2 linked regions of the Sus scrofa genome follow. The protein of the gene in region 1 interacts with the protein of each later gene in a pairwise test. Links are inferred from orthologs where the notes say so. Each region holds a gene or a part of one and is shown on either strand. Other genes may lie near its edges.

What was found. The genes of interacting proteins can lie anywhere in the genome.
Region 2: the proteins of ZC3H10 (region 1) and NFYA interact in binary tests that used the Homo sapiens proteins (3 or more experiments, as listed by UniProt). The two-hybrid records come from large-scale screens. The link is inferred for Sus scrofa from reciprocal best matches to the Homo sapiens genes ZC3H10 and NFYA.

Annotation. Positions count from the first base shown.
Region 1 is NC_010447.5:21,504,624-21,509,984, forward strand, and holds the start of ZC3H10 (zinc finger CCCH domain-containing protein 10), read left to right. Parts: upstream 1-1,886; 5' UTR 1,887-1,993; intron 1,994-2,106; 5' UTR 2,107-2,131; intron 2,132-2,524; 5' UTR 2,525-2,547; intron 2,548-2,816; 5' UTR 2,817-3,664; intron 3,665-4,445; 5' UTR 4,446-4,509; intron 4,510-5,361. UniProt on the Homo sapiens protein: Specific regulator of miRNA biogenesis. Binds, via the C3H1-type zinc finger domains, to the binding motif 5'-GCAGCGC-3' on microRNA pri-MIR143 and negatively regulates the processing to mature microRNA.
Region 2 is NC_010449.5:36,396,053-36,400,214, forward strand, and holds part of NFYA (nuclear transcription factor Y subunit alpha), read left to right. Parts: intron 1-930; coding exon 931-1,077; intron 1,078-4,162. UniProt on the Homo sapiens protein: Component of the sequence-specific heterotrimeric transcription factor (NF-Y) which specifically recognizes a 5'-CCAAT-3' box motif found in the promoters of its target genes.

The DNA.
Region 1 (5,361 bases):
AAGATACTATACTGAATAAAACCATATAGAGCTTATAGACTAGAAAGCAACAGGTGAAATCATAGTGGACTTGATACAAAGTAATTCTGCTGGTGTTTTGTTTGTTTGTCTTGTTTTTCTTCCCATTTTTGGCTGCCCCAGGGCATGCAGAGTTCCTGGGCCAGGGATCAGATCCAAGCTGCACTATAGACCTAAGACCCAAGCCACAGCCGCTGTAACTCGGGATCCTTTATCCCTTGTGCTGGGCCAGGGCTTGAACCTGCATCCCAGCTCTCCCAAGACGCCACCAATCCCACTGTGCCACAGAGGAAACTTTTTTTTTTTTTTAATGCATGCACCAGCGGCATATATAAATTCCTGGGCCAGGGATTGATTCCAAGCCACAGCTGCAGCAATTCTGGATCCTTTAATCCTCACCCAGGGATGGAACCTGGATCTTTGCAGCAACCTGATCTGCTGTTGCTTTTTTTTTTTTTTTTTTGTCTTTTTGCCACTTCTTGGGCGGCTCCTGCAGCATACGGAGGTTCCAAGGCTAGGGGTCTAATCGGAGCTGTAGCTGCCAGCCTACGCCAGAGCCACAGCAACGCAGGATCCGAGCTGCGTCTGCGACCTACACCACAGCTCACAGCAACGCCGGATCGTTAACCCACTGAGCAAGGGCAGGGACCGAACCCGCAACCTCATGGTTCCTACTCGGATTCGTTAACCACTGCGCCACGACAGGAACTCCCGCTGTTGGATTCTTAACCCACTGCACTGGGGCAGGAACTCTTAGGGTTTTTATTTTTGTTTTCAAAAACTTATTCCATTCTAGGAGCTCCCCTGGTGGTGCAGTGGGTTAAGGATCTGGCGTTGTCACTGCAGTGGCTCAGGTCGCTGCTGTGGCCTGCCTGGCCTAGGAACTTCAACTTTTGCATGCAGTGGGCGGGGCCAAAAAACCAAAAACTTACATTCTGATGGAGATAATACTAAAACCACCTAAGCACTTGGAACAAGGGTCCTAAATTTAGATATTTTTTTTTCCAGAGCTAAAAAGGGGAAAGGTTATAAAAGGAAACCACTAAAAAAAAAGGATTATAATAAGCCTTTACTGTATTTTACAGTGAATAAGGCGAAGTCTGCATGATTAAAGGTTCCCTTTCATCCTAACTCAAGTTTCCTGTAACCAAATCTTTGGGAGTCTTTTTCTGGGTGCTTCTGACCCAATCATACGAGGAGACTGGCAAGTTATCTTACCATCAAATACCATTCTTGTCCTAAAGAAATGTCTAGCCGATCCTAGCTAGCTTCCCTTCTGTTCTTTGATTTGATCTTCACGTTGTGTAGAGGGAGAATCACTTAAGTATATTCTAAGCCAGATGCTTTGTGGCCAGGAATCTAGTGACATTCTGCCTCAGGCGTTGGAGTTGGCTAGAAAAAGAGTTGATCTATCTTAAATAGTGCCAAAGGTCTCTGTAGTATGACAAGCTTTCTCGACTCCCCACTTTACATCCTTCCACGTTCTGGAATCTTAGAACCTTTGGAAGTTCCGAAATAGAATCTCCCTGCAGCAACTTAGGTTCAGAACATAAGGCAAACCAGTTTTTGTAAACTCTGCATCTATCCACAGTAAAATGGAGGGTGTCGCCGGGAAACTGCAACTCCCATGAAGCAATGAGAGGGAAGACGGAAGTCACTAACCTACGCTTTTCTGCACTTCTGGGTCTCTTACTGGAAATACATGCTCATATTTAAATAATATAGTATCCTTATAATAAAACCTGGGGAAGGGAAATTTTGTAACTCACACTCAAAATAGTCTATTTTCCAAGAGAACTGTCCCAACTCAAACACTTACCACGAACCCAAAGGGCCAAAAGCTATTGTTATTACCCTCCCGCAGCCCCGCCCCTGGGGGCAGGGCGAGACCACGGAAGTGACGACACCGAGCATTGCATTAAATATCCGTAGGCGGGCCCCTAGCGCTCTCTCGGCCTTAGCGCCATCTTCTGAGGTGAGTCTCGGTTTGGGCTCTCTCCGGTTCCGAGTACAATCCGTAAACATCTGATCTCTGCGATTGCCATCATTACAGCGAACTAACTGTAGACTTTTTTTCTTTACCCGTAGAAACCTCCGCGCCATGAGAGCGAAGGTAAGCAGTCCCCGTTAGTGAGCTGAGGCTCTAAGAATTGGCAGTTGCAGGGGAGACCCAGGCAAGGGAAGTCCGCCATCGTTCTCGGATCGCTAGGTTCTCAAGGGTGCCCAAGAGCTGGTGGGACAGGGAGGATAGTTTGGGGAGAAGCAGAAGCTGGGAGTTAAGTGGGGGTGGAGAGCGGGAATAGGATAGCGCATGCGGGATTGGGGTTTTACAGCGGGGATCCGGGTGGGAGTCCAAGTTGTTGATGTGATTACTGCGACTAAGTCCTCCTAAGTGGTTAAACCTGTCTGGTTAAAAATTACACTATTTATATTCCTCCCTAAACTCGTTGCTACAACTAATGATATCTCGTTTTATTCTCTGCTTCTGGTTGTGATCGGTTGACAGTGGAGGAAGAAGCGAATGCGCAGGTATGCTGAGACTGCAAGTACAGGGTGGGGGAACTGGAGCACACCTTGGGCGAAGCTTGGGAGGAACATTTGGTTTAGAAATCTAAACAGCTTAAGATGAAAAACATGAGCATTGACTTGGCAAAACCAGGGATTGGACACAAGAGGATAGAACCGTAGTGTTCGTTGATTTTTTTTACCCACCCCTTGTATGGTATGCACATTTTAGATGGGAGGGAAAGAAGATTGGGTTTGTGGGCAGGAGGTGCATTCTCGTGTCTGGTTTTCAGGCTGAAGCGCAAAAGAAGAAAGATGAGGCAGAGGTCCAAGTAAACTTGTACACCGTGGAAGCCACAGGAGCAGAAACGAAATCCCAGAGGCCAGGGACGTTGGTACAATTTGTTGGACTGCATGCCTTCTGTCTAGAACTTGTCTCAATGGATCTATAACAACTTTTCGCCGTTCTGATCGCCTGGACCACTCTGAGACCCACCTTGCTCATATCAAAATGGTCCCTTTTGGTTTTTTGCCCTGGACCTGTGACTTTCTGGACTAGTTCTGTTCTCAGTTGTGGCTGAATGTAACACGTGTACAATAAATTATCTGCTGTTTTAGCTGAAGAAAAAAAGTCATCTTGTCTGTTGATGTGGTTTTTATGGTTCATTGGCTGGGGTGTTCTGTATGAGTACTCGCTTTAGAGAATATCTACACTGAGTCGGGGGTGCGGGCCCCGCCCCTGGCCGACTGGTTCTGGACCCTGGGAGTTGCTGGAGTGTTGGGTGGCTCTTATTTCCTGGAAAGGGCGTTACACACGTCAGGGACCGCTTTCAAGTTGATTTCGCCGGCGTGTGGGCAAACAGTTCCGCTCATCGTCCGAAAGGGCTACATTTGCTACGTCCCGCGCTTGGGGCTCTTTGCTGTGCTGTTGGGTCCGGTTGCCATGGTGACACGCAAAGCCTGCTGGGAACTTCCTGCGGCTAATCGCGCAAGTGCTTCGTGAGCCATAGAGTATAGTTCCGGGTCTGGCGGCTAGAGCGTCATTTCTTCCGCAGGAAGCGGAAGGGCGATAGGGTAGGCGGCTCTTTGTCGAAGCTAGAGGACCGGCAGGCGGCAGCAGCAACTACGGCGGCGGCGGCAGGTGAGGGAGGCGGGAGACTTAGGTGGAGGCCGCGCCCGGAGGGGAGGAGTCGGGGCCGGCCCAGCGGCTGGGCTCGGCCGGGCTACACAAGGCCCCCCAGGACTGAGTTTCCTCTGCCTCACGTCCTAGGGCTGAACCCCTTTTCTGACTGACCCCGCTTTGCGAGCAAACGCCAGCTCCGTGACGTCACAGCCCTGCCCATCCCCTCAGCCTCATGTCACCTGGAGTCCCCCTCCCCGCTTCACTTCGTGCTCCTCTAGTGTCCTGTTCACCTGGTCCCCGGCTGAGCTCTGGCGGTACTGCACAGGAACCTGCCAGACTAGAAGACTTGCTTTGGGAAACTCCTAGGACTTTTCGCAAACTCTGGGGTGTTTCGAAGCGTCATAATCACCGCCCCCAAGTCTAATCTGCCATCCCACTGCGCTGTCAGTCGCTGCCCTTGCACGGCTCCCTATTCGGAGTTCTTAACGCCAACCCTAGACCAGGCTACGATCCACGCATCCTCCTTCATCTTGGGGCAGGACGCCCCTCACCCTTTGTTCACTCAGGACTGGTTTTTTTCCAACTCATCCTCCTAGGCTGTCCAAATTTGTTCTGTTCCTTATTATACTCTTCTTACTGATAGCTTCTGCCTTTGACAGGTGAAGTTCAATTTGTACCCTAAGGAAATCTTAGTTCCCAGAGCTCTTGCCATTTGATTAGACTTTATTCTTGTAACCACCCCATAGTCCTCTGTTCTAATCCCTTCTCACACCCAAGTCTCTGTTTTTCTCCTGTTCAGAACCCAGCAGTGATGTGGAGGTGGAGACCCACAGGAGCCCCGGACTTCACCTGAGCTACCTCAGGTATCTAACAATCCTGGGAGAGTTGGGTGGGCAAGAGTATGGTATCTGATTATCTGCTTCTGGTGGGACTTGCAACATGGATCAGGCTTGGATAGGTGCCATTTATTTTTCCCCAGGTCATTTCCTTTTTAGTAGAACTTTGTATCTTCTCTTTTCTCAACCCTTTTTCCTTGGTTATTTTTATCATTCTGGGACTGTCTCTGTTTGGAGGAAGAGGAGCCTTCTTGTACAGATTCTCTTGCAACTCTGGTCCTTGATAGCATGAGTTCATTTTAGGGTTCATTTTGCCTTTAAGTTAAAATCAAGGTAAAGGACTGAGTGGTTAGGGGCCATCAAGGGCTAAAAAAATTGGAAAGATTCCCCTGCACGCTAGAGGACACGATATGAAGTTCTCCCATTTGAACAGCAGGGGGAGCCTTAACACTGCCTAGGAAAGGCTTAGGAGGTCAGACACGTGGTAGCAGGGACTCCTAGCCGTGTTGGGGGTGGGGGGAAGGGAGGGCTAGAACCGGGGCAGTGGACTGACATTCCTGAGCTCTCTTGGGAAAGAGGAGACTTGAAAAGCTTTTATGGAGTCTATAAATAAAGAGGATCTTTATAGGGTGAGAATGGTGAGGTTTGATGTCAGTGGGATCTTCCCATGGAGGGGTATAGAATGGGGAAAGATACTTGTTCCTATGAAATTAACTCCTTCCTATTGCCTTGATGCTGCCATACATGGTTTTGTCCTTTTGGGGTCTCTAAGTGGAGATTCCAGCTAGAACTCTAGCCCCTGAAATGGAGGGGTGGGGGCTGACCACCACAGAGTTGAGAATGGTGGTGATCTGGAAGAGAATACCACAGTGTGACAGG
Region 2 (4,162 bases), on another chromosome or scaffold:
TGAAAATGAAAGTTTTGGTCTTTTAGCTATTCTATTGAACATTCCAGTTCACTTCTAAAGTGGCTTGGTTTTTTGCTTTCAGAATGCATTCAGTCAGCTAGGTATTTTTACATTGGAACGCAAGATGTTCCAGAGCGTTTACAGTTCCCTGGCTTCTAGAGCAGCCCATTTACTTATTGGCACTTGAAAGTTGGGAGTTTTTTGGTGCATTGCAATGCTCTGTATAATTTTCGTATTTGTTGCAGCTAAAATAACTATGCAGACATTGCAAGGTTCGGTGTGAGAAATTCCACCACAGATACTGCAAACTAACCAACGATATTTCTAGTCATTTTTACCGGTGAGCTTCTTAACGACAGGACTAGAATTTTCAGTGAGGTAAAGAAGGTAAGATAGGTGTTTCATTTATGCTTGAGAGACGGTAGGGAGGAAAGGTATTCTATACAGGCTTCCACAGCTGCTTGCATACCTAACCTGGAGTGGTTTGGTTTACTCCTTCCAGATTATTTAGAATTTGCACTCAACCACCATCCCTACCATCAGCCCTCCCTCTCCAGCCTTTACTAGAGACTATCCTGGATCTTGATCTAAAAAGGGAAATAGCCTTGATGTTTTGATGAAATACTTCTCGTGGGTATAGCCTGTATTTGGGGATAAATGCATTATATCTATTGAGGCCCCTCGAAGACTCCGCTTATCCTCTGTTATATCTGATCTTAAAGTATTCGGCTTGGCATTTCGTCAAAGATTATTTTTGAAGAAGACAATTTGTGGGTGAAGACTTGAGACTTATTTTCTTAGTGTCTCTACTACCTTTTCCCCCCCCCAGCAAGGCAGCAGGTAGTTGCAGTGATTGTCTTTTGAAAAAAAAAAAACAAAAAACCATTTTGCGTCTTGTTATTTCATTGTTCTTATTTAATTTTATTCTAGGTCCAGGGGCAGCCATTAATGGTACAGGTCAGTGGAGGTCAGTTAATAACATCAACTGGCCAACCCATCATGGTCCAGGCTGTTCCTGGTGGACAAGGTCAAACCATCATGCAAGTACCTGTGTCTGGGACACAGGGTTTGCAACAGGTGAGTGGTATTAAAATTATTTAGACTATCAGGATAGAGGTTTTAAGAAATAGATTGTTGCAAACTGAAAATTGCTATTTCATTTAATTTCTTCCTACCCTCTGTTCACATTTAGCCAATTTCCTGCCTTTGTAGTGTTGGTGATATAAAGCAGAGGTATGTGGAAATTAGACGTCTCTGGTAAGAACTAGAATGTTAGACTTGATATTGAGTTAGTGTAAAGATTGTAAAAAGAATCTATTTTAATAAAGGTAGTTAATTGGTGTGACCTTTGTTGGCACTTCTGGGCACTAGGGCAAGGAATTTACAGGCTGCCGTGGAGACTTGTTTTCTGTAAAAAATGTGATCCTTTTCATTTCCTTCCATGTAATTTACAACTGGAGTTATCTAGCAGGTGATGGGGAAAAAGTGGGGGGTTTTTTTGGTTTTTTTTTTTAGTACAAACCTGCCATACATACGTCAAGTTATACATAGAGCAAAATTTATAACCTTAAATATTTTGAAAGGACTGAAAACGAATGGTTATTTATCTTAGGAAGCTAGGGAAAGAACAAAATTAAATTAATAAAAATAAAATTAACGAAGTAGAAATTAAGTCTTACGTATTTCCTTTTAGTTTTATGCATGCCTTTTGGGCATAGGGATTTCTTTTGTTGTTTTATTTATGTATGTTTTCCTTTCATAGGGAAGGTTACTATAAATGTATTTGAATTTTATAGCTTTACCTTTTTTTTTCAGTTAATTTGAATTTTAGGGTAATTTCTTTGGAGTAGAGGAATTGGTCGGGCAAAGAACAAGGTCATTTTTAAGGCTATTGGTATATTCTTACCAAGATAGAGTTGTAGTTAGGATTAAAAATAGTTTCCACATTCCTTCATGCATAAATGTATGAGCCTTTAAATATATGTCTCATGTGTGCTTGCCTCAGTTTCACACTGCTGTTTCATTTCTGTCCTTTCTCTCATTGCCTCCTCTGCAAGCCCCCCACCCCCCTGCTGTGCCCTCTCTGTCCAATAGAAACAGTGTGGTAATAGCACTAGGAACACTGTACAGGTGCAGTAATCTGACTTTTATTCCCAGGTCTGCCATTAAACAGACTTTCTGATCTTGGCCAAGTCATTTGATTGTCAGTTTTCTCATTCAAAAACGCAGTTTACATCAGGTGATTTCTGCAGTTCATTCCCACTCTGAAGTCTATGATTTTTATGGGAGTTTTCTTGGCCTTTAAGAGACATTGAAAGGTTTATTTTATTCCCCTCCCTCCAAATAGGACTGTAACTAATCAAACCATCTTGGAAAAAAATATTTTCTGCTCATTATATAATGATACAGCTTTAGGAAAGATTCCATAGCTTCTCTTAGAATGCTTAAAATTTCAGCTCATTTTTTTAGAGGTTACTTTAGTATTTGTTGAATAACCATGGCTTTTAGAAGAGTACTTAACCTTTTTTGGTTGCATCTTCTGTTTTAGAATTCCAGTGAAACTTAACGCTCTTCTTGGCTTAAGATCCCTGGCTTGATATAAACAATGGAATTAAAGTAGAGAGCCAAGAATGTAGGTGAACTAAAGTAGATGCAAGATATCGCAAATTAGTTTATCAAAAATAGTGCAGGAGTTCCCTTGTGGCTGAGCAGGTTAAGGACCCAGGATTGTCACTGCAGTGGCTCCAGTTACTGCTGTGGTGCGGGTCACTCCTTGGCCTGGGAATTTCCACATGCCTTGGGGAAAAAAATGTTATGAAAGTAAAATTGCTCTCTACTTCATACCATATCAAAAATACTTGCTAGATAGCTTACAGATCTAAATGTAAAAAAGCATAGTTGGAAACTAGTCTTTTATAGGAATGTTTACTTTACATTGTGGGATAGAGAAGGATTTCTTAAAAAAAAATAATTGATTTGACTATAAAATAAAAACTTGTATATGTCAAAATGTATCAAAAGGCAGAAGACAAAAAGCTTTTTTGTTTTTTTGTGGGAGTCCCAGAAAGAGAGAAAGAAAGGGCAGAGATAATATTTGAGGAAATAATGGTTGAAAACTTCCCAAATGTGATTAAAGACATGAATTACAGGAAGTTCCCATTGTGGCTCAGCAGTAATGAACCTGACTAGTATCCATGAGAATGCAGGTTTGATCCCTGGCCTCGCTCAGTGGGCTAAGTAAAGATCTAGTGTTGCTGTGAGCTGTGGTTAGGTTGTAGACGCAGCTCCAGATCCAGCATGGCTGTGGCTGTGGCGTAGGCCAGCAGCTGCAGCTCTGATTCAACCCCTAGCCTGGGAACTGCCATATGCTGCATGCTAGGCCCTAAAAAGGAAAAAAAAAAAAAAAAAAAAAAAAAGACATGAATAGCAAAAGGATACAATATGTTACTTCTTATATTAAGTTTATAAATATAAAATAAAACCATATAGTTTTATGCATATACATGTGTAAATTATGCTCTATAAGAATGATCACCAGTTTTGTACTATAATGATAACTTTGATGGAAAGGGAAAGTTAAAAGAAATTAAGTAAATATAGTAGAATGTTAATTCGTTAAACCTGAGTATTGACTGCAGGGCGTCTAATATGACAGTCTCGACTTTTCTGTATGTTTAAGGATTTTTATAGAGTCCCAGTTGGAAAACTCAGAAATATTTTTCCAATATTTTATTATAGAAAATTTCAAACAGGCAAAAGCAAAGAGAATGGTGTAGTGAGTCATCATCCAGTCTAAGACACAAATTAGTGTTATATTTAAATAAATATTTCATCTGTCTTCTCCTACTCTCTCAAGGATTATTTTGAATATATATAATATGATTTCATTTATTAAAAAATACTTTAAAAATAAAAAGTACTTTTTCAAAAAAAAATTTAAGAATGCTATTAAAAATACTCTTTCAAGGATTATTTTGAATGTATATAATACCATTTCATCTATAAAAAAATACTTTTTCATCTATCAAAAAAAGGGTGTATTTTTAAATGAACATGCTTTTAGAAACATATAACCATACCTGCACCATCATCCTTCTAAAAGCAGACATTGACTCATCTATATCCAGTATCCACACAGTGGTCAAAATTCCCCCATCATGTC